Linked DNA regions of Tamandua tetradactyla. The protein of the gene in region 4 purifies or fractionates together with the protein of the main gene of each other region. This does not show direct contact. Links are inferred from orthologs where the notes say so. Each region holds a gene or a part of one and is shown on either strand. Other genes may lie near its edges.

Region 1 (7,939 bases), on a different chromosome or scaffold from region 4:
CACCTCAAACTACCAGCTAGGATACCTACATTTCAGATGCAGCTTCATTATAAATTCAGTATCTCACTGTCCTATAAAATCTCACATGTATGGTTGACTGAATGATACCATTTGACTTAGTTCAGTGGTGCTGTTTAGCGTATTCCATATGCTTATTCATTTGGTTCAGTAAACAATGTCTAGGGGCCTATCAAACAAATTATTTTAATGAAATGCATAATCATCTGATGGTTAGTATATACCAACCTGTTATGTGAGATAAGCTGACCTGCAGGTAATCCAAGGCCAGTGAATCAATCACTGCTTGCACATTATGCGCATCATCCTCTTGACTCTTGGGAATAGCTATGACATCTGGAAAAAAGTGACATAATTTTGCTTCCATGAGGGTCCGAATTTTTATCTATTCATCTCTGACTAGATTTCTTAATAAACCCAACTGCTATAAAAGTAGGTTGTGCCCAAAGAGAAGAACTGTATAAAATCCAGATAAAGTCACAGCCTGATTACCACACAGGAGAATCTTCATCTATTCAACTGACATACATACATACATACATACATACCGTACAACAAGCACCATGCTAATGGAAGATAGAGGGGTTCCTAAATTCAAGGAGATGCTCATATTCTATTAAAGGAAGAAAAAAGGTAAGACATGAGGCGAGACTTTAACCTGTAACTGTGGGCTACTTTCCCAGGGTACCACTAGGAAAAAAAAAAAAAACAGTAGTATGAATGAAGGACTCTTACATGTCCTGCTATAGCAGCCTATCGAGAATTACGGAACAAAGGTTTAAAAAGTCAGCTCAAGAGCATGGAAAGGTTTTACTATCAAGTTAAGTTTGGATTTTCTCCTCTGGAAAAAAGAAGATCTATGTTTTGGGGCAGGATAAATTATTTTAAAAGATTGATCTAATAACTATATGCCAAACATAATTAGAGAGTCTCAATTGGATGAGACTAGTATCAAAGGCACCCACTACAGGCTATTACATCAATTCAGGAACTGAGTAAGGGTACTGGTTCATTGTAACAATGGGAAAGAGAGACTTCAGATCTTATAGTACTTAATGGTTATAAACTACATAAAGAGACAGAGGTAGTTGAGGAATCTATGGATAAACTATGAGATATTCAACCTGGGATACAGCAAAAATCACATGGTACCCCGAAAGAAATGAGCAAGTCACAACTTACAAGATGATAGGACATATGAATTTATTAACGGTCTCCTTGGTAAAGTAGGTTAATAAAGTACAAACAACAATTTTCATCTCTAATAATGTTTAAGTAAAAAGACCCAACAAATTTCTGAGCTCTACTCAATTTTAGAATCTTTGAAGGTACATCTGCAGAAAGGGTATGACTTTCATATGGCATTAGGCGAAATTTGATTAACGAGTGATTACTGAGAACCAACTGATTTAATCAAGGTTGTTATTATGGGTGGGTCCCATAAGGTATTTATTAAGGTGATAAATGCAATATTTAGATAGAAATAAGATGTAGCTAAAGAGAAAATACAAGGTTTTAAACAAAGGATCTAATTAAAGGGATGAGAAACTTCTAGTTGAAGATATAGACACAATTACTCCTGCTTTTTAGTACCCTTACCTGGTACCCTTTCTCCCAAGATTGATTGATAAAGAGCAATAAAAACTTCGGCATCACAATCTTCAAGTTCATGTATCCTCAGATGTATATGACATTTTGAAAGGAGATTATTTGCAATAGTTATCCACTCTGTTGGGAAAGGAAAGGAAAAGATCAGCCTCGAGTACTAGAAAAAGTCAAATACACATACATTAAAAAAAAACCTAACAAATCCCCAGCAATACAAACACTGAATTCCTTAGAAGACATGAAATTTGTTAAAGAACTTCAAAGACCCTACTAGACGAGACTTTTGAAAAGCAATTTCTTATGATGGCTTCCAGAGAGCTGTAATTTCAATGTAATCAACACTACGATGCAAACACAACTTTCGCTGCTGCAACCTAAGACCTTAGGTTATTTATCAGTGGATTTTATTTTATAATAGGTGTTTAAGTTAACACACATTAACAAGTAAACGGGATACGGCAAAAACAAGACGGTCTGTTAACGAAAGTAATTAATGGATGTGCCTTCAAATTCCCAACAGTTCTGGACGTGTTTTTGGCTCAATTATTTTGCGCAAGTCAGGATTTCTCCGGTGCCCAAATAGTAGTGATTAATTTAGACTGTTAAAGATTGGAGTAATGATAACACCACCACTACTGCTTTGGGTTATCAGATTTAACGTATCCGAAAGAAAATATGGGCAATACATAAGAACATTCCTGTATCCACGACCTAACCTCGAACCAGCACATTACCAATACTGTAGCTCCCTGCATGCTGTACCGCTCCTCCCAGATACTGCTGGCATTAATAAAATAGCTCAAGTGTTTCTCGACCACTTAGAAGGCTTGAAACTCTTGTTGCCTGAAATGACAGGCGATTAACTGGAAAGCACTTTTACTCCTCATTAGATATATCTCTAGCATGTTCTGGAAACAAACGCGCATTATTGGGAGTGGTTTGTACGCTGTCCTGGAGAAAAGGATGAACGCGTCCTAAACAACCAAAGCAATATGCGTTTCAGAAGCCGATGCTAGACAAAGCCGTTAACTCTCTCCAGAGGGCAGTGAAGAGAAAAAACAAAACATTATTCTAGCTTTGGCGGGGCATCAACAGCACTTAAGAGTGCTATTCCTCCAAAGTTCAATTCAAATGCCTTAGTCTCCACAATGCAAGAGCGCAAAGCACACTGGCAGTGAAAAGACACTCAAGAGAAATACAGATTCGGGGAAGATCCTTTCTGACTGCTCTTTCGTAACCTGGATACGGGTGTGTTACCGGCCTCGCCACAGACCATGCCCTCCTCCACCTCAGACCGCTACTCTAAACGGTGACGGAACTAGTCTAGGAGACCCTATTCAAAGGACCGCGGACTGCCAGGGGGTGTCTAACAGTCAGGAGCTCCGCTTTTCAGCCCAGACCAAGATTCACCCCGGCCCCTGCCCTCCAGATAAAATGGACAGGGCGTTCGGGTAGTTGGGTGGCTTCAGTCCACATAAAGCAAAAGTCCTGGCCGAGACTCACCAGCCTCCGAGCCAGCCATGTCGCGGAGGAAGGGAGTCGCAGGACTTGCAGCCAAGTGCGCGGGGACAGTGTCCTGAGAGGGTCACACAGCGCACACACAGATATCGAGGGAGGGAGAACGAAAGGAAAGTGCGGAAAAGAAGAGGTGAATGAGGGAGGGACGTTAGAACGGCTTCTCGCCGCTGATTGGTCATTAGAGGAGCACTTCCTTTCGCATCACGAGCCTAGGCGGCGGTTTGCAGGATCTAGATTCCACTCTCCGTCAGCGAGGTCCAGTTGAGGGATTCTTAAGTGAGTGGAACCGACAGGCCAGATCGCCCACGGGTCTTGGCCGGTGCCCTGGGGAATTAGAACGGCATTTCCGGAAGTAGTTCGTTTTGTATCCCTCCGCTGACGCCCGTTGGAAAGTAGTGCCGTCGGCTCAGCCGGTGGGCGGGGAGCAGCCACGTGACAATATCAGACTCCGCCTTTCCGTCCATTGGTTAAGGGCGTGGAGGCTCTCTGGGGACGTAAACATCTACAAGTGGGGAGAGCGGATTGGCCTGACCTGGCCGCCTTATCTCTAGGCTGGACCTGAAAAAGGGTGGGGTGGATTGCTTAAGATATGTAAAGACGAGAAAAAGGGGAACTCAAGAGAGTGTAGGATGCGGACCCCCAGCGTTTGGTGGGCCCGGACGTGAAAGGAACGAAAAAACCGGCGGCTACAAGGAAGGGATCCCGGAGTGGGGGGGAGGGGGGAGTGGAAGGGGAAGGGTGAGAATATGGCGGATTCCGGAACGCCGCGGGCGTTGCGGCCTCTGCGCAGGGGGCGGGGCGACTAGGTCACAGAGCGGTTCCCAGTGTCCTTTGCGGTGGCGGAGGCGGTCCAGACTATAAAACCGGCTGCCGGGAGGCGGCCGGTACCTCATTCATTTCCCCCGGTGTTTGTTGTGCAGCTCTGGGTCTTGTCATCGACTTCTCTCTGCCGCCGCCGCCCCCGCAAGGCTTCGCCGTCGCGGAAGCCTACCCCAGCGATTCCCCACACCCGATTCTCTCCAGTTCGTTCCCCACCAACCGCAACCATTGACGCCATGTCGGGTTATTCGAGTGACCGAGACCGCGGCCGGGATCGAGGGTGAGTGTGGGACCGACCTGTCAGGCCCGCGGGTGGGGGAAGGGAGGACAAGGAGGGTAGCGGCCAAGGTATGCGGGGTGGAACCTTGCCCTGCCTAGCGTAACTTTGGGCCGCCCCACTCCTAACTTTGCGCACCTTTTGACATTTACCCAAATCTGATTATGAGGGATTTGCGTGTCAACAGTTCTCAGGTCCACTTTTTGAGGGGAGGAGGGGGCTCCCGGACCTCCGCCATTTTCCGCCTGTCATGAGCATTCGGGGGACTGTGTTGTGAAGGGAGGAAAGCGCGACGCTTTGAGGCGGACTAAGTATCCGCCGTCATTAGTTCAACAATTCGGGAGGTGTTTGAGGGGATCCGGAAATTCAGTGGGAGCGAGGGGGCCGTTTCCGAAGCCATCGAGGCGGTGGCGACAGGAGGGTGGCCGGCGCTGCTGGATTCAGCCATGTGGCTGTGCCGCTGGTACAAAATGCCGGCCTCGGACATGGCGGCGGCGCCTTTGTTACCCCGCCCGGCGGAGGAGCTCAAAATGGCAGCGTCGAGAAAATGTGGCGCAGAGAGAAATGCGAGACAAAGGGGGAAGCGCCGCCCCAGCGGGAACGCCGCCTGGCCGACTCCGCCCGGGCCGGGCTCCTCCCCCGGTAGTTGCCGGCTCCTCCTTCTCCTTATTCTTGGGTTATGTAATTTTCTTACCTTGATTGAGAGCTCTTCCGCGGGATGCCCCCCAACTCCGTTTGTTTGCTATGTCCCGGAGCCCCTTGTTCTGCTCTCGATGCTGTTGCGTCATCCATTCTTAAAGCCAAAGCCCGTTTGCTTGGAAACAGCTGTAGAAATAAGGCTCCTCTTCTATCGTTTATCTCCGAAATGGAGATTTCGTTTTTAAGGTTGTGGGAAAGATTTTAACCACAAGCTGTTGTCTATCCTAGATTGCTATCTTAGTAATCTGTATTTGTGGAATTTGAGCATCCAATTTCCGATTTTATTCATAAATTATGGTTTGCTTACTGTTCCTGGCTTTAATGAGGTGTACAGGGGACGACAAGAAATAAGATTTAGGGTTAACTAACTGACTGTTGAGTGACTATCATTAAGGGCAGTAATGGGTTTTGTATGACACACAGGTGCTTTGAATAAAGTTGAATAATCCTTAGTGTGTGCCATGGAATGGTAAACTTGCATAAAAATACAAATGTTTGATTACAAACTTTTTCTTTTCAGGTTTGGTGCGCCTCGATTTGGAGGAAGTAGGGCAGGGCCCCTATCTGGAAAAAAGTTTGGAAACCCTGGGGAGAAACTAGTTAAAAAGAAGTGGAATCTTGATGAGCTGCCAAAATTTGAGAAGAATTTTTATCAAGAACACCCTGATTTGGCTAGGCGCACAGCGGTGAGTGATTTCATTTGGCTTCGTTATTAGGATATAATTCTGACTTACAATAAGTCAGAATCTGACACAAGTGTCTTGCAAATCTAGGGAGATTCATACTTTCTGGCTTCCAGCTTAGGAAAGAGGTGTGAACCATTTCTGGGAACAGGTTGCTTTGAATTTTCTAGTTAGAATGGTTATTTGATAAAATATGTATTCTTGTGCTTTGTAGGTTTTCATGTGGATCTAGGTTGAAAATCAAGGCCACTAAAAGTAGTTTATAAATTTAGGGGCTTACAGTTATATATTTAGGGGAGAGGTTATGCTGAGTCTTACTCGAGTACACTAATTACGTGTCTTTCAGCAAGAGGTAGAGGCATACAGAAGAAGCAAGGAAGTTACAGTCAGAGGTCACAACTGCCCAAAACCAGTTCTGAACTTTTATGAAGCAAACTTCCCTGGTAAGTGTTAGTTTTGAATTTGTCATCTTTACTTTCTCTTGGTGTAACATTTTTACTAAATTTGCTACCTTTGGTTACAGCAAATGTCATGGATGTGATTGCAAGACAGAACTTTACTGAGCCCACTGCTATTCAAGCTCAGGGATGGCCAGTTGCTCTAAGTGGATTGGATATGGTTGGAGTAGCACAGACTGGATCTGGGAAAACACTGTCTGTAAGTTTGGGAACACTTTGGAGTGTTCTCTAAAATATGCTAGATAAAGTGGATTCAGAATAAAAGGGGGAACAAAGAATATTTAAATGTAACTGTTTTTCTTCATCCTCCTCCCACATAGTATTTGCTTCCTGCCATTGTCCACATCAATCATCAGCCATTCCTGGAGAGAGGTGATGGGCCTATTGTAAGTATATAGTCCATTAATTTGGTTAGAAATGTAACTGAGTTGCAAAGATAGGATAATTTCTGTGGTTTTATATGTAGAGAGAATAGTAATCTCACAATTGTCACATTTTGGGAAATTGCACATTTGGAAGAAAGAAATCATGTCTGCTAGTGTAAGGCTTATAAATTAGCAGTTTAAGACTAGGGATCTAGGTCTTATGCTGAAAGCTGTTTCTTTCCTTAGTGCTTGGTGCTGGCACCAACTCGAGAACTGGCCCAACAAGTGCAGCAAGTAGCTGCTGAATACTGTAGAGCGTGTCGCTTAAAGTCTACTTGCATCTATGGCGGTGCTCCCAAGGGACCACAAATACGTGATTTGGAGAGAGGTATGTAATAGAAAAGCTTGTTGTTACTGGTGCTAAAAGTTACGTGTTTGGTGGTTACATTTTATGTTTCACTGAAGGTGTGGAAATCTGTATTGCAACACCTGGAAGACTGATCGACTTTTTAGAATGTGGGAAAACCAATCTGAGAAGAACCACCTACCTTGTCCTTGATGAAGCAGATAGGATGCTTGATATGGGCTTCGAACCCCAAATAAGGAAGATAGTGGATCAGATAAGAGTAAGTGTTTTTTTTTTTAATTCACCTAAGAACATATAAAAACAAACATTTTTAACATAACGAACATTTCATACTTGGTGTACAAATCAGTGGCTCACAGTATCATCACATAGTTGTGTATTCATCACCATGATAATTTCTTTAGAACATTTGCATCACTCCAGAAAAAGAAAAAACTCACATACCATACCTCTTACTCCTCCCTCTCATTGACATTTCTATCTATTCATTTTAACATTTGTTCCCCCCTATTTATTTTTTCATACGTTTTTTACTCATTTGTTCATACTGTAGATAAAAGGAACATCAAAGGTTTTCACAATCACATAGTCATTTGAAAAGCTATATCATTATAAGTGTTGTTAAATATGTTATCATTTCAAATTTAACTTTTTGAAAAAGTTACGATACTAATTTTTTTAACCCACATTTGTTAAGCCTGATAGGCAAACCCTAATGTGGAGTGCGACTTGGCCAAAAGAAGTAAGACAGCTTGCTGAAGATTTCCTAAAAGACTATATCCATATAAACATTGGTGCACTAGAACTGAGTGCAAACCACAATATTCTTCAGATTGTGGATGTGTGTCATGATGTAGAAAAGGATGAAAAGTAAGTTTTTCATAAGTCTTAATTGACTTTAAAAACAATTTTCTACGTAATTGAGGACTGGTTCATATATCTTTTTTTATAATGTATTTCAAAAAAGAACGAAAACAATCTTGTTATGGTCTTAAAAGTGATTTTCAGTTGGGTGGAACCTGAATATGCTTAAAACTAGTCTGTCAGTTCTTTTGGAATTGCTTTGCAGCTTTCAAATAATTTTTCACTATAGCATTTTTATAGGAAAATGAATTCCTACCCTGTGG
Region 2 (7,055 bases), on a different chromosome or scaffold from region 4:
CACTGTGCCCCTTTTTTGTACAACCTGCAACCCCACTTCAACTGCTCAAAATCACTTCTTTTCTCAGCAAACATACATCTGTTGGAGTAATTTCCAATTGTAAATTCTGAAACCCACATCCTAACAGTAATCACTGCTCCCATAAAAATATTTGAGAAATTTACCAACTGTGTTCTAGTAAGGATTACAATCTCCAGGCAAATACAGGCACATTTCTAACATCTTTTCCATGCTACCACTGCCCCAGCTCATTGTAGTGAGCTAATTACTCAGGAGAAGTTTGTTATGACATTTGCATACATACATTGCAGGCACTTTCACATGCTTTTCAAATTGTAAAAATAAAAACAGTGGAAAATGAAAATTAACTAATTTGCTGTTTTCTCCAAAGGTACCATTTTCTAAATTAAAGATAAAACCAACACTGGCATCTACCAGAGTTCGCTACCAATATTTTTATATAACTAGGGAAAATAATTCAAAGATAAACCACTGAAAATGGGAAGGTAATAAATTTTAAAATAAGACTTCTATAACCAATTTATTCCATTCACATTAAAACAGTCATAATTTTAGTTTCTTAGTTTTATTTATATACAAATAACTAGCATAGTTTCCTTAGTCAGGTAGATGTCTTGGAAGATCAAGGAAGATCACTTAGTCCAACTGGAAAAAAAAAAAAAACATGAAATAAATTACAAAATACTTTAAATTCCTAACATCTTCTCACAAACACTGACATACAGAAACAAGACCCACCCAGCCTAGCTTACCAAAAGCTAAATGTTCAAATATTTACTGAATGCCTCCTAGAAGATGCTCCACAAACCTCAACATTTACATCTTAGACTGTTAATTTTTAGTACTGACATTCTTTCTTCAAAGAAACATTCCAAATCAGAACACTACTGCATAAAATGATCCTTATCAAAAGTTCAAAATGGTTACTAACTAGATAACTATATTTACACAGCTAATATATTTGGCACTCAATGTATGCCAGACACTATATTGTATAAGTTTCACAAATGTCAAAGTTCATTCTCTCATCTATGATATCCTGCCTCTTCCCACTGAGTTATACTTGAACTGCCATATAGTAAAACCAAATATATACAGGGTATTTGGTCGACGTTAAAAGCTTAAGCTTAAAAGATACTCTGTCTCTTCTGGACTATCTCTTATTCACAAGTTTACACCCACTATAATACATCAACACAAACATGTTATTTTCTCAACTATGATCCAGAAAATTCGTGATTGCAGTTCAAAGAGCAAAGAAGGATTTAACTTGCACTTCAGGTGGCTGACTCTGCGCTGCAGAATTCTGACAAGGTCTACCTGGTCCCAGATCTCGAGCTCATTCCAGTAAACGGCGCTATCTAAAATTTCTGGTCAGTAACTAACGAATATACTTGGCTGCAAAACGTCTAGGTACTCCTAAGGCCAATTAATTACTTAACGTGGTGGACACTAGATAATTTTATCCAACAGAGGACACGGCACCCAAGTGGCAGAGGGATAAAAGAAGGCTAGAGGGACTCTTGTTAAGCCTCCAGCCTCTTAACTCCACTGGTCTGGCTGCCGAATGGGAGAACAGCTACCAGACCCTCCAACAGTGTCACCCGCTACAAAGGAAGGCGCCCACTACATAAAAGAGAAGGACGGGCGGTCACCGAGGGAACTAGTAACTGTGCCACGTCTCAGCGTCAGGACGGCCCGGGGTCTGCGGACACGCACCTTGATGAAGCCGATATCCTTGGCGTACTGACGGAAACACTGGCGGCACATATTGAGGCCGTACTTCCGGATCAGACCATGCCGGTTTGAGCAGACGCGGCTGCAACACAAGAAATGGTGTCAGTGCAGGTCTCGAAAACTCGAGGGTTCACCGTTCGGAAGGACAGCCCCCACCCGCCCGGCCTCCGGGCCTCACAGGCCTGTAATGGCGGCGACCGCGCGGCGACTCCGGCCTCTCCACGCGCTGCCCGCGGGCTTAGTCACATTAAATTTCAGGAGCCTCGCGACCCAGACAACCCTTCTCCAGACTCTATGCTGTTTCTCACCAAGAGCGGGAACCCTGGCCGAATTTTCGTGGATGGCTCCAATAGAGCTGCTGATGACCCATCTTGCTATCAGGGCGGCAACGAGGGAAAGGAGAGAGGCAGCGTGCGCATGCGCTCTTCAAGCTTTGGGGGACAGGGTTTACCCATGATGCATTGCTGGCTGGCGCGTGCGCCCTGTGACAACGCTGTCCGGGTAAGAGCAGATCTCGGGGACGTTCTGGAGCCCAGCGACCGGTGACGTCAGCGCACGTTAGCTTCTAGTTCGCCCTGGCCCCGGCCGCGAGCGCCGGGCGTGGTGGCGCGCGCCTGTAGTCCCAGCTACTCGGGAGGCTGAGGCAGGAGGATCGCTTGAGCCCAGGAGTTCTGGGCTGCAGTGCGCTATGCCGATCGGGTGTCCGCACTAAGTTCGGCATCAATATGGTGACCTCCCGGGAGCGGGGGACCACCAGGTTGCCTAAGGAGGGGTGAACCGGCCCAGGTCGGAAACGGAGCAGGTCAAAACTCCCGTGCTGATCAGTAGTGGGACCGCGCCTGTGAATAGCCACTGCACTCCAGCCTGGGCAACATAGCGAGACCCCGTCTTTTTGGCGCCCTCGGGACAGGACCCTTGACCCTCCAAGGCGTCCTCACCTTCTCGGGGGACGCCGGTGCAGTGTTTTAGTGCGAATTCTGTATCTGGAACCCCCCCGTCACATTCTTTCAGTTCGAATTCTACATTTGGAAGAATGCCTTTGCCTCAACTCCGCACTGGCACCTACCGGGGTAAACTTAAAAAACAACCTAAAATCAGCTGTAATAATTGGGAGTCAACGCTAGGAGTTTCTGTTTCGTTAAACAGAAAACCTTTTCAAAAAAAAGATTTTAATGGGCACATTCCTCCAAAAAGATGCACTTAGCCGCTACAGTCCAGAAAGGTGATGCGAGGCTCTTTGACCCTTAGCGTGTTCGATAGTTAAATTGAATTGAAAGTGAGAATCAAATCTGCGATGCTACTTTAACCAGATGACTTCTTAACAAAGCAATAATGAAAAGTAAAGGCCATCTGATTACTCTGCTGAGAGATGCCTGAACTCCACGTGGGCATTCATAATGTCTGCAAATAAAGCTGACTGCGTTTTACACGGCTAGTTTAAACACAGATTATGATATCAAAGCTGTAATTGGACCTGTAAAATGTTGCAGTGTGCAAGAATCCAAGAAGCTTGCTGGATTCAGAACTGAAGTAGAGTATTTCTGGAAGTATGTCATTTCCAAGACACGCTAGTCATTAAGTTAGGCACTGTGTTATATTATGAAGGGGGGAATTTAGAGATTAAGGGGGACTCAGAGTCAAAAGGGAGATTTCATCGTTGCCCTCAAATTAGCAAATCTAGTGAGGAAAACAGGATTATCTCAAAGAGCCCTTCCTTCCAATTTCGACGTTTGTGACTCAATATCATGCATATAACTAAGCAGAATATTTTGGATGTACTTATAAAGTACAAAAAGAGCAAAAGGGCCTTAGATAACAGGGCCCTGAAGAATGGGATATTTACAAGTCATCTTTTAATGAAAGCAAATACCCAGTGAAAGGAAGAGCCTTGAGCCAAAGAATTGAGTTGGAAAAGGCTTGGCAAAGGCAAACAACCTTGCATAATCCGTATGAAGGATGCACAAAAGGAGGCCTAGTGATAAATAAGGCTGAACACATACCTTATATTATTGCCGGATTTTGCCAAAGTCCAATGTCAGGCTTCTCCAGCATTACATGGAATGCATATCAAAATCAATGAAGTGTAGTTTCCAAAATCCTCTACCTCTAAAAGGATAATCTCACATTTACCCCTCTGTAGCTTTCTCATGCAAGTCTTTCCTGATTGGTGTCCTTCTCCATAACTTTTAAATAATTCCCCTAGTTCTGCAATTGATTCCATAAATATTGTCAATACTCTGTGATATAATCCTTTGGGCCTAGAGAAGTGAACTCATTAAAAAAAAAAAAAAAGACAAACCAAAGCACCTAGTTACTTGATATCAAGTAGTTTTTAATGTTTACTCTGGCCTAAAAGTTATTCTTCTTGATAGAGATACTGCAAACTGCAATTGAGAACTCATATTTCCTTTTAGTTTTCAGGTAAAGTGGCACCATCTACCCCAAACAATGGGATTATCAATTTCTTTTTCAATAAGAGCCAAGAACACAGCTTTAAAAGTCCCTTTTAACAAACCCAGGGTTTATAAAGAGTTTTGAGCTTAATCTTGTACTCTTCTTATAGGTTCCTAGTGCTCAGCCATTTGACTTTTAAATCTCTCCTTCTTTTTGAACACATCTCCCCCATAATATAATATTTACTGAGTTTGGTTCCTTTTTTTTTTTAATATGGTGATGTACAAAGAGAAACTGCAAAAATCTCCTTGCCCAAACAACCCCAATTGATATTTTGTTTTCAAAAAAATCAAATACATTTATAAGATTAAAACATTCCAACAGTACACAGCATAGATTTTATTTTTGTATTTAAGCCATTGGTATGATCTGCATGTTAAGACACTATTATTCAAAATTTTTCCTTCAAACTATTTTTAAAATTATTTTTGATGATGCTTCCAGAATTTTTATCACTTGAAGACCTGCATCTCTCTGGAATTACCTTCAATTTTAGAATCTTTGGGAATAAAAACATGCTTTCACACTAAACTATTTTTTAACATGACTGTTCATAGCATCTTTATTTGCAACGGCCAAAAACTGGTAATAACCAAAATGACCCTCAAAAAACGAATGGCTGTACTGTTGGCAGCACACCCATTCCACGGGGTGATACTCAGTCATTAAATTTAAGGAACAAACTACTAATATATGCAACTACTTGGATGGATGGAAAGGACGTTGTGCTGAGTGAAAGTGCCAATTTCAAAATTCATGTACTGTATGGTTTTATTTATTTAACATTCTCAAATTGACAAAATTATGGAAACGGAGAGCAGATAACTGATTGCCAGGCATTAGGGATGGTGGCTGGAGGAGTTGGGGGCTAAGTTTAACTACAAAAGAGCAGCACAAGGGAAGTCATTGTGGGGAAGGAATAGTTCCATATGTTAACTGGTGTGGCTATCTACACACGTGATAAAACGGCACAGAACTCTGCACACACGCACACTGTCCCAATGTCAAATTCTTGGTTTTGAGGTTGTCCTAGAATTATGTAAGATGTAACCATTGGAGAAAACTGAGTATAGGTCACATGGGACCCCTGTATTACCTTCGCAACTTAATGTGAAATCTATAAATATTACAAAATAAAAAGTTAAAAATGATAACTATTGGATATGATATGCAATAAAGGGCTAACAAAGTGACTTGAATAAAATAAGTCAGCTACCTCCATAATCTCTATCTTTTAGTTTGGAGAAGGAGAAAAAAGCTACTTTTAAAACTGGTTTTTTTGCTGTGGATGGACCTAATGTGTGTGAAGACTTCCCAATAAAAATATTTTAAGAAAACCAGGTTTTGAAAACACCAGGTTTTAAGAAAACCTTGTTAATGTTCACAATCTTCCAGTTGAGAAATTACTACTGACACAATTTAAAAGTAGATTAGATTCCTTGCAGGCTGGAAATAGCCCGTCTCTTTAGTTCTCAGCTGTTCTTAGTCAATAGATTACTGTGATTCCATTTTTAACCATCATTTTGAAAATCTTTGCCTAATTTATAAAGAAATGAGTTCTGTTCAAAATAGAGAAAAATTGCAACTAAAAGCACCAGTTTAATAGGAATGCACAAGGAGTGTGACATAACTTAAAGGAATACAATGTAAAAGTTGTAACAATATTTATTAACTGAATAAATCTCCCCTGAGCGGAATAACATTAGTGATGTGGGTGAGCTTGGTAACATTTCTGCATTTTTTTGGTGCTTGAAGATAGCTTATCATCCAATGACAATGCTGTTTTCCTCATAAAATCAATAATTTGCATTGCCTAACTTACAAAATACATTTTTATTTCCAAAAAAAGTGACTTCCTTATGTGAAGTCACTAAAAAGTTAAAATATTTAAAATGCACCTAGATTTGACTATATGCTGTCTTTATTCAATGATTAATTCCATAGCTAATTGTGACTAAATTTAATTACATATAAATTTAATTCTAAGAAGTACCTCTCATCAATACTTAATAAGCTAGCTTTCCTTTTTTACATAGAAACATTTACAATTGCAACAAAATGGAAGCAAAAGTGAAACAGAAGCCACTGAAAATTAATAAAACATAACTCTTCAACAAAGGTTAAATAGTCCTGTGTGTTTACTGGCGATATCTCAATACCAGTAAAAATAACACAAATATATACATCCCTCAACCAGCCAGTATTTTAATAATCCACAAAATCAACAAATATGTAGAAAGTGCTTTTACTCTATTACCACCTAAAATAACGCATCATACAGTTTCCACGAATGTGTTCGTTGACTTCTAACCTTTGCCCTTTAGAATTCCCTTTGTTGTAGCCAGAACATGCTCCTTTTTAATGATTCCACATTAATTCCTCCAAAGCATTTTTCCTGGACTCTGCTAATCGATGAACAAACAGTAAACAATTCAGATGTACCAGTAAGTTGCCACGATTGTCCAGATGATGCTGAGGTTTCTGTCCCTTGAAGACGCACTTTAGGAAGCGGTAGGGTGCTTTTCGCTTTATCGGCCTCATCCGGAGAGAAAATGGTCCTGAGCCCCACCCTCTCCCTCAGGCATCAGCACAGTTTGTGCCCGCTGCGCCACCAGAACTTCCCGGCCTCCAGATGTATTCATTTGCTAATGCTGCCGGAAAGCACTATACCAGAAATGGAACAGTTTTTAAAAAGGGAATTTAATAAATTACTAGTTCATAGTTCTAAGGTCATAAATACGTCCTAACTAAGGCATCCAGAGAAAGATACCTTGGCTCAAGGAAGGCAGATCAGGAAAGACACGTGGATGGCATCTGCTGGTCGCTAGTTCCGGGGCTCCCTT
Region 3 (7,679 bases), on a different chromosome or scaffold from region 4:
TTTCTATATTTATTTTGCATAATCGCCTCTGTAGATATACCTGTAGCATTTGTCCTTCAAAATGCAATATTGTTTATTTTTATATCCCATTTTCTTTCTCCAGCAGCACACACATCAAGACTTTTTAAATCAACATTCACTTATCACCAAATGATTTTTCTGCCTGTTTTAGAATGACTTTTGTGTGGCGGTGTTTATTTTATTAAACAATTTTTATATCTGCCTTGGGATAATACGATTAAAATTTGCCCCTCCCCATCAAACCATGCAATCATTATAGAACTGTTTGCATAAGAGAATAAAAGAAGACAGCAGAGAAGGAAAGTTGTGGGGTTTTTTGTTTTGTTTTTTTTTAGGACAGATAGTGCCCTCTGTTTTAAAAGACCTTTTTGGCCCTCTGAAAAATACGGTCTTGCGGAATATGTCATATGCTTAGAAGTTAGGGCATCTTCATTTGGAAGTACAGGAACAAGCTATAATCATTGGCCAACTTTTTTTTTCTAAGTTTCTGCCTGTTTTATTATTCAGAACGTGTTATTCTCTGTTGGATTCCAAAAAGTAGCGAACCCTGTTCAAGGGATGATATCATCTATTAGGTTGAAAATACATGAAAGTGGGGACAAAATTGTCAGTGAAACAAAGTTTTGAAAATCTCTGTCAGAGGCCATTAGGAAATGGGGCATCTTATCAAAAATCGTGCCCGCCTTGTGGCTAGCATGTACAAAGATCTAGAGGCTGCATAGAAGGAAGATTAAGGCTGAAATTTTGTGTTTTCTCAGGTAAGGCATTTGGAGCATAATTTTTGTTCCCAGTGACAATGCCACCAACACTGGCCATGAGCCTACTTCTTTCTTCTTTTCTTAATGCAATTTTATTGATATCTATTCACATAATCTACAGTCATCCAAAGTGTACAATCAGTGTTTCACAGTATTATCATATGGTTGTACATTCATTACAATTTTCTTCTAACTTTTTAGCTGTATAGTGTAACATATATACAAAGCAAAGAAAGAAAAAAGCAGTAGTTTTCAAAGCACTCTTCAACAAGTAGTCGCAGAACCAATCCCAGAGTTTGTCGTGGGCTACCATATCATCCTCTCAGATTTTTCCTTCTAGTTGCTCCAGAATATAGGAGGTTAGAAGGCATAAATACTTTTTTTCTCATCACATTCGACTTTTTTTGTGTGTGAAAAATAGCATATATACAAAAAAGCAATAAATTTCAAAGCACACCACCACAATTAGTTGCAGAACATATTTCGGAGTTTGGCGTGGGTTACAATTCTACAATTTTAAGTTTTAACTTCTAGCTTCTCTAAGATACTGGAGACTAAAAGAGATATCAATTTAGTGATTCAGCAATCATATTTATTTGTTAAACCCTACCTTCTCTGTATAAGTCTATCATCACCTTTGATCTTTCTATCCCTCTCTTTAGGGGTATTTGGGCTATGGTCATCCTAACTTTTTCATCTTGGAAGGGTCTGTCACTAATATAGGGTAGGAAGATAGAACTATCTGAGGTTCTGGAGACGCTGGGAACTCTAGGTTTCAGGACTTATCTGGAGGCTAAAGGTTTCTGGAAAGTTACTCTAGTGCGTAGCATTACCACAATTTTTGAACATTTTCATTATTCCCCCCAAAATACATGTAAAATAAAATAAAAATAAAAATGATAAAGAACACCCAAAATAATCCCATGCCCCTTACCACCCCCATTATTATTTATTGTCAGTGTTCTTGCCTGCTGAGCCACCGCGGCCCGCCCTATCCTTATTTTTTTTATTCATACAATAAGGAAGGAGTATCAGCCACAAGGTTTTCACAATCATATGGTCACACTGTAAAAATGATATAATTATATAGCCGTGTTCACGAATCAAGGCTAATGGGTTACGTTCCACAGTTACAGTTCTTTCCTTCTAGCTATTCTAATACGATCCCCCTTCTTTCTTTCTCTTCTCCCCTCTTGATGGAACCTTTCTATTTTACTGTCTTTTTCAGAAGCAGAATAGCAAAACAGTAGTTATGAATGAAGATTTTCAGCTTTGTTTCTTATGAGCTGTGCAAGCCACGCGTGCAAGCCATGTAACCTCTCAGTATTCACTTCACCATCTTTAAATTTGAATTCATAATGATGCCTACCTCATGGGGTTATTGTAGGGTGAAATGAGTTATTACATTTAAAGGACTTAGTTCAGGGCCTGGAATACTATAAATACTCCTGATATCTTAACTGCAGATATTAATAAATAACACATAATCAATAACATATTAATTATGTTATACTGTCATTAATAGTAATATTCTTATTTTACTTAGAAAATATTCTAATTGGAGATATATTACTGCTCACCCCAAATGCCAAATCTTTCGGGATTTTAATTTTTGAAGCCTTGGATAAATACAAGCACTAATCAGTATTACATTAATCCAGACTTTCACAACTCACTTAAGCATGCCAAAAAACATCCGAGTCAGTATCACAATACACTATTAGTATTCAGAATTGTCCTGCTTTAAATTATATGATATTCCTGTTACAAAGGACAGAGCAAAGTTGCAACTTTTCTCCCCTCCTCTCAGAAATCCCACAAAGGACACAAGGAGGGTGAGAAGCAGAACCACAAACATCATCTTCAGTGAAAGTAAGAGACACCAGAAACTCCTCAAATAAAAGGAGAAGGAGCCACCCAAATCAGTGAGGGAGCAACAGGCGGAGGGGATTGGGAGGGAGGCTGCCTGTGGCTGCAGGTCTTAGAACAGGCCAGCAGAGGGCGGCGCTGAGAGGTGCGGGCCACACCCGGAGAGGCGGAACAATGCTCCCTTGTTTGCAGTGATGAGACTCCAGTGGGTGGAGAGAGCCTCGGCTCACCGGGCCAGACCCGGGTTCTGGGTATGAACTTGCCTTCCTTGCCTGCAGAACTTGCCAGCAGACTTAGATGATGCCTTCCCTCTCCCCATGTCCCTCCCACATGTGACCGTGGGACATGTGACAGTGAAAGGTTGACCGCGGGCCCTTGTCCACGTATTCCACTGATCTGACCCTGACCGTGTGCCCCGTCACCTAGAAGCAGCTGCCTTGGTGCCAGCAGGGTGTGGCCTGCTGCAGGCTCAGGTACGGGGCCAGCTGGGAAAGAACAGCCTGTGAGGTTGGGATTTCTGGCCGTTGAGATGCAGAATATGCCGTAAACCAGCTGCCAGGAGGCAGGGGTCCAAGAACCAAGGAAAGGAGGGAGGAGTGTCCCCTCCCTCTTCTACCTCTAATTTGCTGGAAGAATTTTTGTTTTCCTGGCCAGTGACCTGGGACTCAGTGGTTCTAGGTCTCCCTGGTGCCTTAGAGAGAATTGCTTAGAGGGGGAAGCATCATGACGGTTCCATGGCACTGGAAGCTGAGGTCGTTTGGGGCTCCACTGAATTAGTAGGCAGAGAAGGGGGTCACTGGACTTGCCTCTGTGGTTGATGTGGTTATGGGGGGGGGGGAACAGGCACTGTTACTGCATGAAGGAAGGAGGGGGTGTCTAGAACCCAGGATTCACTGGGACACCTCTTAGTACTCCTTTGCCAGAAAGATCTGGTTAATGGAAAAGTATAGCATACAGTAAAGTTGCTATACTTTATTGGGGTCATAAAGACATGACCCCAATATCCTATGAGAATCAATTTTTGGTTACGCCACCAAGCAAAGAATCGTGCCCAGCTGAGGGTAAGGGGACATGGAATTAGTGATAGAAGAAGGCAACTCAGACTTGGCAGCCATTAGAAAAGGGGGCCTCTAATAGCTGTGATTTATATTAATGGTTCTTTTCCCTTCCTTTTTCTTCCTACCTAATATAAAGAGAACTGGCAGTGGCTGATGTTTCGGTGTTACGTAATTACTTGCTATATAATCTTTGGCAAGTTATTTAACTTCTCTGTGGTTCAGTTACTCATTTGAAAAACAGGGATGATAAAACTGGATAGCTCATATGTTGTTGTAGAGATTTAATACTTAGAATAGTGCCTGATACAGAGTAAGTTCTCGATATATTTAAGTATTATTTCAGTCATCGTTACTTCTACACTAGATGTCTTTTTGCATTTCATTGTCACTTAGGCAAGGAAGTCCCCAGAAAAATTTCCCAGTTTTTATTATACGGTAGTCTTAAAATTTGGAAGTATAAATTTCAAAAAAAGTCAAAATCAATATATAAGATTTGTTTGCCATAGTAGTTAGTATGTCATAACAGGAAGACATCCAAATGAATGATAGAAACACCAGATTCAGGATAGTTATCATCTCTGGAAAGCAAAGTAAGTTGAAGGACTTCAGCTATGTATTAATTATCTGTTGCTACATAACAAATTACCCCCTGTAGTGGTTTAAAGCTTCTAAATACCCCAGAAAATGTCATATTCTTTATATTTGCATATATATATATGTATTTTTTTAAATTGAGAAATATTCATACACATATATTCCATACATGGTGGACAATCAGTGGCTCACAATATCATCACATAGTTGTATATTCATCACCATGATCATTTTTTAGAACATTTGCATCTCGCCAGGAAAAGAATTAAAAGGAAAAAGAAAAAAGTCATACATACCATACCCCTTACCCCTCCCTCTCACTGAGCACTAGTATTTCCATCTATCCAATTTATTTTAACCTTTGACCCCCCTATTATTTATTTTTTATCCGTATTTATCTGTCTACACCCTGGATAAAAGCATCAGACACAAATTTTTCACAATCACACAGTCACTTTGGAAACATTATATCTTTATACAATCGTCTTCAAGAATCTAGGCTACTGGAACACAGCTCACCAGTTTCGGGTACTTCCCTCCAACCATTTCAACACACCATAAACTAAAGGATTATCTATATAATGTGTAAGAATAACCTCCAGGATGACCTCTCGATTATTTGAAACCTCTCAGCCACTGAAACTTTATCTTGTCTCATTTCTCTCTTCCCCCTTTTGGTCAAGAAGGCTTTCTCAATCCTTTGATGCTGGGTTCTAGCTTGTCCCTGGACTTCTGACCCACATTGCCAGGGAGGTTCACACCCCTGTTGAGTCATATCCCACATAGAAGGGAGGGCAGTGAGTTCACCTGCCGAGTTGGCTTAGAGAGAGAGCCCACATCTGAACAACAAAAGAGGTTCTCTGGGGGTGACTCTTAGGCTTAATTTTAAGTAGTCTTAGCCCATCCTTTGCATGATTAAGTTTCATAGAGGTGAACCCCAAGATTGAGGGTTTGGCCTATAGATTTGGTGGTCCACACTGCTAGCAAGAATATCAGAAATTCTCCAAATTGGGAAGATTGAATATATCCTCCTTTCTCCCTATTCCCCCAAGGGGACATCACAAATACTTCTTTATTCTGCCTAAATTACTCTGTGATATATTGGGACATCACACGAACCAGGACAAACCAAAAAAACTCACACCCTATTCAAGATTCCATGTAGGAAATGGGCTACCCAAAGTATAATTTTTGCACCAAATAAGCATCTCTCCCTTTAGTCTCACAGAGAAGTTGAAGTTTTAAAATATGGATGATAACATCCTTTACCCAGTCTTCTGATATACATTAGTCCAGATCAGCTTCATTCAAATCTCTACACAATCTGATCACTTTTTCATCTTTTTAAACAGTTCTGGTATGGAGTACTGCTGACTTTCGTAGCTTTAGAGTTCTAACTAACAGTCTCAGGTGTCACATAAATACCTGAAGTTCTTGGGAATGACCAGGTTATATACAAACAGCTCAGTATCACAGAATCTAGAACTAACAGTGACCCCTCCTGCATATATGTGACTGCTGTAAGAGCTTACAATCTAGGAGCCTTTACAATAGGCCCCGACCTGATAAACCAAGTTCTTGACTTTAGTTCACCAAGTTTTTATATTATCGTTAGTCCATATGATGGAGGCATGATGATATTTGTCTTTTTGTTCCAGACATTTCATTCAACAGACAGTCCTTAAAGTTCATTCATCTAGTTGCATGCCTAGATGAGTCACAACTTCATTCATTCTTGTAGCCGGTCAGTAGTCTAATGTATGTCTACACCATAGTTCCCCCTTCCATCCCTCAGTCCTTGTAGCCTTAGGCCACCTCCATCCATTGTGGATCCGGAACACTGCCACCATAAACACCAGTGCGCAAATGTCCATTCGTGTCCCCACACTCACTTCCTACAGGTATATACTGAGCAATGGGTTTCAGGGTCATATGGCAACCCCACCCCTAGCCTCCTGTGGCACCACCACACTGCCCTCCAAGGGGCTGCACCTCTCGGTTTCCCTACGAACAGTGAATAGGTACATCTCTTTCTCTGCATTTTCTCTGGCACTTGTTTCTCTCTGTTCATTTTTAAACAGTTTTATTTACACATCATACAATCCACCCTAAGTATATAGTCATGCCTTTGCCACCATAATCTATATGAAGCCATTTCCTTTTCTTCCACAAAGAATCCATACTGCTCCCTGATGCCCCTTGCCTGTTGACATTTAGTTTTGGCAAAATGCCTCTGTTACATTCAATGGAAGCAATTGCAATGTTACTGTTGACTATAGATCCTAGCTTGCATTGATTGTGCTTTTTCCCATATACCATCTATTTTCAACACCCTGCAATAATGACAGTCAGTTGTTCTCCCTCATGCAAAAATGTTTTTTTATTTGTACATTCAATCACCATCATTGTCCATTCTAGGCATTCCTAAATTATACCATCTCAGTCTTTATCCTCTATCTTTCCTTCTTTCATATGTGCCCCCAGCCCTTTTCCCTCTATCATACTTACATTCAGCTTCATTCAGTGTAGTTATATTACTGTGCTACCATCAGATAATATTGTGCTACCCATTTCTGAATTTTTTACAATTAGTCATGTTGCACAATCTTTATTCCTTCAGCACCAATTGCCCAATCTTTATTCTATTTCTATCTTCTGATAACCTGTGTTCTTAACTTCAATTCTCCAAGTTCACTCATTAATGTTTATATGAGTGAGACCACACAATATTTGTCCTTATTTTCTGGTTAATTTCACTCAGCATAATGTCCTCAAGGTCAGTCCATGTTGTTACATGTTGTCATGGTCAGGTTCATGTGTCAACTTGGCCAGGTGGTAGTACCTGTTTGTCTGGTTGGGCAAGTACTGGCCTGTCTGTTGCTATGAGGACATTTCATAGAATTAAATCATGATCACACCGGCTGCATCCACAGCTGATTCCATTTGTAATAAGCCAAGAGGAGTGTCTTCTGCAATGAGTGATGCTCAGTCTAATCACTGGGAGCCTTTTAAGGAGGATTCAGAAGAGACAGGCTCTTCCTGCTTCAGCTGGCGAGCCTCTCCTGTGGAGTTCGTCCAGACCCTCCATTGGAATCGTCAGCTTCACAGCCTGCCCTGCAGATTTTGGACTCTGTGTTCCCACAGTCATGTGAGACACTGTTATAAATTTTATATCTGTGAATGTTCCCTGTTGATTCTGTTTCTCTAGAGAACCCTAGCTAATACACAGGCTTATGACTTTATTCTCTCTTCCAACTGCATAATAGTCCATTGTATGTATATACCACAGATTGTTTAGCCATTCATCTATTGATGGATATTTGTGCCATTTCCATCTCTAGGCAATCATAAAAAATCCTGCTATAAACATTGGTATGCA
Region 4 (7,344 bases):
TATCTCAACTACCTATAAATGGTATACGGTAAGAAATAAAAAATTTAATGTTTACACTGTTACAAATCTGAATAAATACAACTTCTAATTCATGGAAATTTAAGCTTCCACTGCTTAAATCTACTGGGCGATGTGACACCTATCTACTTGTACTTCAATCATTTCTACCCTCTGCTCTACTTATTACAATGAATAACTTCATTTTTATCAAATACCAAACCAACGTAATTACTTATAGTAAAATTATAAATCTGACAGCCATGGCTCATTTATAGGTTTGCAATACTTCCTCATACTCAATTGCAACCCAACTGGGTAAAGTAGCAGAATTTACAGTGCTGCCATTGATACCATTCGCTGCTGAAGAAAGCTAGTGGCCCAGTGAAAGCCCACTGCTGCTGCCCCAGGTCTTTGGAAGAAATCAACTTATGTTAAAGCAGCAGCTACTGAACTGGAATTGAGAACAAAACAGCAGTTATTGAAAAAATAGTATTACAATCTTTCGTTAGAATAGGGAATAAACTTGTGTGCTAATGGGAAAGGTCATTAGCAAATATTTAACTAGCCCAAATAGCTCACATTATAATTCTACAAAAAAAGCGTAATTACTTTACTGTAGAAGCCTTAGTATAAGTTATGGGTACTTCACAAATTTCCATTAGGTAATTAGTAAAAAATTGCCATTAATTTTACATTCCTAAGCATAAGAGCTTTCAAGTCATATAAATTATAAAATCGCTAGAGCATGTGAAATTACCAATACAACTGATGCTGTACTTAAATATTAAGCTATAAGAATGAATACACACCATAATCTCCTACTTTTACTGTTTTCTGAACTTAGGTTGGACGTACAGCATTACGTCTGTAACACTGTAGAACCAAACCACAGCATTTGGAGCTGGAGGAAGGGAAGAAATGGCTTCACTTACAAGTATCAAGACAAACCACTGTGTCATCGAAGTGTTCATCTTCTTCTTCGACAGGCGGCTGAGGAGATTTGGCTCTGAAAGAAAGAATTGTCTCCTGATATGGCTTTTCCCGTCAACCAACAAAGAATAGATGATTAAAAAAAACTAGGTTACCATCCTCTACCTGCTATACTTGTTTTCTTCAATGTACTCAAAATATCCGCGGCCATGATCTTCTCGAGGTCTTTTAACACCTCTCTTTTTGTCTCCGCCTTTCTGCTCTGTTTTGCCGTCTCCTACAATACACAACAGCCTTATAAGAAGCCAAGCCGCCAAAGAGTGACCAAAAAAATCCTTTCCTAGTTTGAGGCGCAAGACCTTGTCTTCATCCTTTATTCCGTAAAGAGCTTTCAATCGACGAATCAAACGCGAAATCAAAGCACAGAATTCAACCAGTTAGTGACGCAGTCCAAAGACGTAACTAATTTTGCCGTGTACGCGATGATCCGAGAAAACGAAAGAAAAATAGTCGGGCGCAAATCCTGGACCCACGTGCACCGACAGTGTTCAGGAAGGGGGGAGGGGCGAGCCTCCGCCGCGCGGCCCAGCCCGCCCCTCCCCCACCAGCCCGCGCGCCCCGCCGCCGCATTGTACTGATCTTCCGCCCAGGCTCCCCGCCCGGCGCCTCACGACGGAAGTGACGTCACGCCTCGACCCTGCGCTCCTTGCACAATACAGCGCCCAAGAGCCGCTGAGGCACCCCCCGCCCCGGGACCTCGAGCCTCTCCCCTCCCCCCCCAGGCATGTGCCCGCACCGCGCACACGCAGCGCGGCGGGGCCCCCGCTGGCCCACAGGGCTTCCTCCCGCCGCCCGCCGTGGCTCCTCCCCCTCCAGCGGCAGCTGCAGCTCCCCCTGGCTCTTGAGTCACATAATGGAGGCGCCACCGCCGCCGTCACACACACCGACCCCGAGGCCTCATTACGAACCCAGAATTACCCGCAACCCCCCTTCCCCACCTGGATAGGCACACGGAAAAGGCTCCGCACCCGCCCCCCTCGCCCAACCCCCGCGGCGGCCCCAGCCCAGGGTTCCCTCCCCGCGGCGGGGCTCCGGCAGGCCTGGGGCACGGTCCCACCCCGCGCGGGCCTCCCGCCGCGCGCAACGTACAACGCAGCACTCACCCGCCGCCGGAGCCCCGGGGCGACCGCCGCCTCCGCCGCCTTCCGCCTTCTTCTTACCTCCCGCCTGCTGTTGGCCCTGCCTGGCCCCGGGCGGCGCCACCGTCACCGCGAACAGCGAGGTGGGGCCGCTGCTCTTCCCCGCGGCCTCCTTGGCGGCCCCGCGCTGCTGTTGGGGCTGTTGCTGCGGCGTCGCGGGCGGTTGAGGCTGCTGCTCCCCGTGCCCGTTCTCGTCTCCCGCGCCTTCCTCCTCGTCTCCGAGCTCATCTTCTCCTTCCTGGAAGCCCTGATCGTCGCCGTTCTCGTCTTCCGAGGCAGCCTCCTCCTCCTCCATCGGGCCCGAGTCGGCCGCCCCCGCGGCCCCGTTCTCCTCCCCTAGCTCCATCTGGTCGCCATCCAGGGCCGCGATCCCTTCCTCCTCCTCTTCTTCCTCCTCCTCTTCATCGCCGGCGGTCGCGGCCTCCTGCTCGAGGCCTGCTCCCGAGCGCCCGGCGGAATCCCCGCCCAGGTCTAGGCTGCCGTTCCCGGGCTCCATGGCGGGGCGGCCTCCGGCCTCCTCGTCGTCCAGCGCGGCCTGGAGTCGCTCCATGAGATCGGCCTTGAGGCCCTTGTCAGAAAGGCGCCGCTTCTTGAGCTCCTCTTTCAGCTCCGACACCTTCAGCTTTTTTACATTAACAGGCGAGGAACTCATCGTGAGGGCCCCGATTCACCGCTAGGCGCTGGTTCAAACTCGGCTCCGCTCACACGGCCACTGGTGGCGGCTAGTGCGGCTGCTCCTCGGCCCGGGCGGCGGCTGCGGCTGCGGCTGGAGGTGGGTTCGTGCTGCAGAGCGGACCCGCCTGGTGTCGAACGGCGCCAATTCCTTTCACCGAGTTCGCGAGGGAGACGCGGAGACTCGCCTGGCGCGAGCGAGCACGCAACGTCCTCTCGCAGGGCGGCGCCGCGCACGTAATATAGTCGCCCCGCCCCCCAGCCTTACGGTAGTGCTGCGCAGCAGCAAAGTCGCGGCGCGCGCGCGCTCCCCTTCATCCTCTTTACCGTACTTACTTCCCCGCCCCCACGCCGCGTCCCAGACTCGGAGAGCGGCGCAGGCCGCGCGGCGCCGTTCCTCACGGACCGAGCAAATGGAGGAAGGTCGACCGTCTCTCGGTTAAGCCGAAGCCTACCGGCCCTTCCAGTGCCTTAGTACTACTTTTGCTCTGTCAGTCCGATCTGGACGCTGCTTTTATCCATATGTCTTTAATTTCACTCGAACTCTCCACCTTTTCTTCCATCTTAGATTTGCATTCTTAGATATTTGTCCTCTATCAAATTAAAACTCCTCCACATTTTATTTCAAGTTTGATTTGTACCTCACAAATTAGCTTTGATTATGTGCGTGAGGTGTATTTTTCCGCTTAATTTTTTTGTTTAATTTTACCGAGTCCTGCCTGGGGAGTTGGATTTTAAGTGCCGGAAGGGTGAGGGCAGAAGCCCTTTCTTTTGTCTTTTCCACAACCTCTGTTGCAGGGCTTGGGATCCTGTATTCCACGCTGCCAAATAAACTTTACAGGCCTTCATGGCAACTGTTCTCATGTTTTAGTAGCCAAATAGATAGATCTCAGAATTGCATTTGTGAGTTTTCTTTACCTACCAAAAAGACGGCTCTTCTATAATGTTTATTCTGTCAAATTTAGGAGCGGTCTGCAGTCCCAGCAGCTAACAATGAGGGGGAGAGCAGTCATGCACTTTGATTCTGTTCCTACTCCTATGAAACTTCTTAATCAAATCATGCTGAAACTATAGAAACTGGTGAAAAATATGATTTTGTAAAAAAAAAAAAAAATAGTCACGCTGGAAAGGAAATCGGTAATTTTTGTTGTATTTTTAGAAGTTTATGTTTTCTCTTTAGTAAATGAAAGGACTGGTATGGTCTCGAAGTTTTAGGTAGGGGTTACAAGGAAATAGATTTGTGATAACCCGGGAGAGTCTGTACAGTGACCAGCCACTGTACTCTCTAAGGAGATCAGTTTACCCAGGAGATCTGTTTGGTACAATAATGCCCCAATATTAATTTGAAATTTGGAAGTGTAGAAATCTGTGGTTAACTTTCTCTCATAGACTAGTCTGATTTGATGATTAATACATTTTATTTTTAAAGTTCCTTTTTGATAGTTTTTAGGAAGCATGTACCTTGCCATGCAGGCATGTGTAAAGATAAAATACCAACATTTATGTAATGATTTAAGTTGAAATTAGCGAACTATGTACAATGCTGATAATTCTTGGTTCAAGTTGACTTGAATTGATCGGAATAATATCCAAAACAGAACCAAACAGGTTTTAGCCTTTGGTTATATATCCTTGAAATTTATAAACAAGTGACAAAACTGGAATTTGAACGCTTTCTTTGCCCTTGATCAAAAATTGAAAGAGCTACAGGAAGCTTACACATTCACAAATTAGATAATTAGTCCGTTAGAGAATCAGGGTTGAATACAACTAAGTCTTTTAAATGTGTAACTATCCTTAGATCCTTAGGTAATAGTTACATTTTTAGGTATTAGTGATATGAAAACAATTTCAATTTAGCTGAAAAAAATAAGCCCCAAAACTAGATATATTATCAAAATAGATAGATTTACAACAGTTGTTTGGGGTACATTAAATCAGTTGTAAGAACAAACATGAAATATGTTGCGATGTGCTTTGAAATGTATTGTTTTTTGTATATATATTATTTTTTACAGAAAAAGAAAAAAGTCGATTGTGATGATCAATAAAAAGTCTTAGGGAAAAAAGCCAAAAATAATAATTCAAAAAATAAAAAGAATGAACATGAACTCTATCTTTAGATGCACATTAGAAAGTTCCATCCATGGCCTTGTTTCCAAGAGCTTTGTGACTTTTAGAGCCAGATGGGGCCTGTTGATCGTCTTCAGTCTGTTCATTCCACAGTCAAGGAAGTGGAGATCTCACCCCCATGCCGATCCTCTTTCGTACATTACAGTAGGCTCCCTTAGACAGCGTTCAAAAGAAACCAGTTTTTCTAAATGCTCAGAGAACCATCATCTTACTGGTTCTTTTTTTTAAAAGGAAGAAATGTACCATAGACATATTTTACCACTGAAAGTACAAATCATGACTTGATTTTACTAGTCGTTTTTTACTTTACTCTTTTTTGGGGGGAGGGGCAGGGTGCATGGTCTGGGAATTGAACCTGGGTCTCCTGCGTGCAAGACAAGCATTCTACCACTGAACCAGCTGTGCACCCTCATTCTGCTTTATTTTTTATACCATCATGACAGTCCTATTCTACAAAGTTGACTAAAAGTGAGGTTACTTTATATTTCTGAGGGACCTATAAGGAACTTGAAATTACCCCCTTTTAAAATCCTGCCGACTACCAAGAAGGCACAGTTGAAGGGGGACAAATTAATTCTCAATGGCAAACAAGTGATTGATTAGTTAATTACCCCTGGATAATTGATGTAGCAGAGATAATTACAAAGTTAGGTACCCCAGATAGATAATTTACATTTTAAGGTTGAAGCAATGCTGTTGTTTTGTCACACAATTCACTCAGCAAATATTTTTGAGCTAAGACAGGCGCTGGTCTGCTGACAGATCAGTGATCTATATAAATATGCCTTCACTCTCAGGGAAAGTTAGTCAGTAAATAAAGTAGAGATGACAGGTACTACAGGGGAAAAACCAAGCAGGAGAAGGGCAGGGCATGCTGAGGTGGGGTGCATTTATAAATGTGGTAATCAGGGAAACCTAACATATAGGGTAACCTTGTGGAAGCCTGAGGGGTGTGATAGGAAGTGAGATCAGAAAGGAAAGATAGTAGAAAAGATTCAGATTGCCAGTAGTTTTCTAGGTTGTTTTGTAAGGACTTCGACTTTTGCCTTCAGTGAGACGGAAGACACTGAAGGATTGTTAGCAAAGAAATGACATGAACTGATAGGAATACTAAATTTAATGAATCAGCCTGCACTTCATTTATCATGACACTTCCATTTAATTCTGTATTTTTTGTATACTACAATTTAGCATAATGAAAGAAGCAAGAAATATGCTTAGATACATTTTTTAATGTGTTTTACAAAAGATATAAGAAATTACAAGTAGCTTTGGGTTATTATAAATTAAGACAATTTTTCAAATAGACCAACAAGAAAACCCAATTGGAAGGGGGATGTACCAAATAGCAGTTAAAAGTGCAAGCTTTAAAATCAGACAGACCTGGTTTCCATACCAGCTAAACCACATAATAGCTGTGTGATCTTGGACAAGCTGCCTCATAGGGTTGTTGAGAAGATTCAAGGAGGTAATGAATATAAAACCTTGAGTACAGTGCGTGGCACATAGTCTTCATTAGATATGCCTGGCAAGTTAATAAACTTAAGAAAATCCGTGATTTGATTGTTAAATATTATTTAGGAAATTGTGACTTTACATATTTTGTAAATTGTGAGTGATTTGTTCATGGTGAGATTTCAATTTGGCAACAAAGTGAAATAGTGGAAGCAAGAATGTGCAGATTTTACTTCTAGCCCCAGCACTGTCATTATAATCAGCTGTGTGATCTTTCTGGACATCAGTTTCCTCCTCTATAAACCATGCAGAACAGACTAAAAGACTTAATAGAACTTTCTATAAGTTCCCTATTTGCTGACTCTAAGAAAAAGCCATGGGGAGGAGTCAGGCTAGAAGTTAGTGGAAACCTGGAAGAGAAAGAAGAGGACAGCACTATATGGTAACACCAGGGAACCCCAAGGATTGCCAACCCTTCAGCACCACTGGCCCCAGGCAGAAACAAACTTTCAACCTCCAAAACTATTCCAAAGCAATAAATTCCTGCTGTTTAATCCAACGAAGTGTGTGGTATTCGTCATACCAGGTGGGAAACTAACACAAAACCCTCATCTAGATGTGGCCCAACAGCTATACTAAATGGAAAGCTGATCCAGGAATGGCAGTAAAGTGTATATGTAGATACATTTACATAATATATTTACAAACATATACGCACACATAGTCCCAATGCATCCAACAAATATATACTGAGCACCTACTATGTACCAAGTATTGTACCATATACAAGGAATACAGATACAAATGACACAGTACCAGGCAGGAGCTTAGTGTTTGGAGAGAGAAGTCAAGGTATAAGCAATTGCAAAGGATGCTATGAGACACTAGGACAACTACAAGGGGAGCCAGCCATCTTGACCAACTGCTTAGCTGCTGTCTGTAGGATTCCCATAGC

What was found.
Region 1: the proteins of HNRNPU (region 4) and DDX5 purify together in Homo sapiens (affinity purification with mass spectrometry; 3 studies listed by BioGRID and IntAct, with this or other methods). This does not show direct contact. The link is inferred for Tamandua tetradactyla from reciprocal best matches to the Homo sapiens genes HNRNPU and DDX5.
Region 2: the proteins of HNRNPU (region 4) and RPS29 fractionate together in Homo sapiens (co-fractionation; 3 studies listed by BioGRID and IntAct, with this or other methods). This does not show direct contact. The link is inferred for Tamandua tetradactyla from reciprocal best matches to the Homo sapiens genes HNRNPU and RPS29.
Region 3: the proteins of HNRNPU (region 4) and KPNA2 purify together in Homo sapiens (affinity purification with mass spectrometry; 3 studies listed by BioGRID and IntAct, with this or other methods). This does not show direct contact. The link is inferred for Tamandua tetradactyla from reciprocal best matches to the Homo sapiens genes HNRNPU and KPNA2.

Annotation. Positions count from the first base shown.
Region 1 is NC_135332.1:5,711,955-5,719,893, reverse strand, and holds the start of DDX5 (putative ATP-dependent RNA helicase DDX5), read left to right. Parts: upstream 1-4,934; 5' UTR 4,935-4,958; coding exon 4,959-5,125; intron 5,126-5,459; coding exon 5,460-5,625; intron 5,626-5,968; coding exon 5,969-6,065; intron 6,066-6,145; coding exon 6,146-6,279; intron 6,280-6,400; coding exon 6,401-6,466; intron 6,467-6,691; coding exon 6,692-6,833; intron 6,834-6,910; coding exon 6,911-7,071; intron 7,072-7,509; coding exon 7,510-7,682; intron 7,683-7,939. Other genes in the region: CEP95 (centrosomal protein of 95 kDa), read right to left, coding at 247-354, 1,618-1,746, 3,130-3,148. UniProt on the Homo sapiens protein: Involved in the alternative regulation of pre-mRNA splicing; its RNA helicase activity is necessary for increasing tau exon 10 inclusion and occurs in a RBM4-dependent manner. Binds to the tau pre-mRNA in the stem-loop region downstream of exon 10.
Region 2 is NC_135340.1:3,111,269-3,118,323, reverse strand, and holds RPS29 (small ribosomal subunit protein uS14), read right to left. Parts: upstream 2,203-7,055; 5' UTR 2,129-2,202; coding exon 2,067-2,128; intron 1,841-2,066; coding exon 1,741-1,840; intron 667-1,740; coding exon 658-666; 3' UTR 511-657; downstream 1-510. UniProt on the Homo sapiens protein: Component of the small ribosomal subunit. The ribosome is a large ribonucleoprotein complex responsible for the synthesis of proteins in the cell.
Region 3 is NC_135332.1:6,063,705-6,071,383, forward strand, and holds the start of KPNA2 (importin subunit alpha-1), read right to left. Parts: upstream 3,020-7,679; 5' UTR 2,912-3,019; intron 1-2,911.
Region 4 is NC_135333.1:16,458,675-16,466,018, forward strand, and holds the start of HNRNPU (heterogeneous nuclear ribonucleoprotein U), read right to left. Parts: upstream 3,010-7,344; 5' UTR 2,782-3,009; coding exon 2,094-2,781; intron 1,208-2,093; coding exon 1,096-1,207; intron 1,007-1,095; coding exon 933-1,006; intron 1-932. UniProt on the Homo sapiens protein: DNA- and RNA-binding protein involved in several cellular processes such as nuclear chromatin organization, telomere-length regulation, transcription, mRNA alternative splicing and stability, Xist-mediated transcriptional silencing and mitotic cell progression.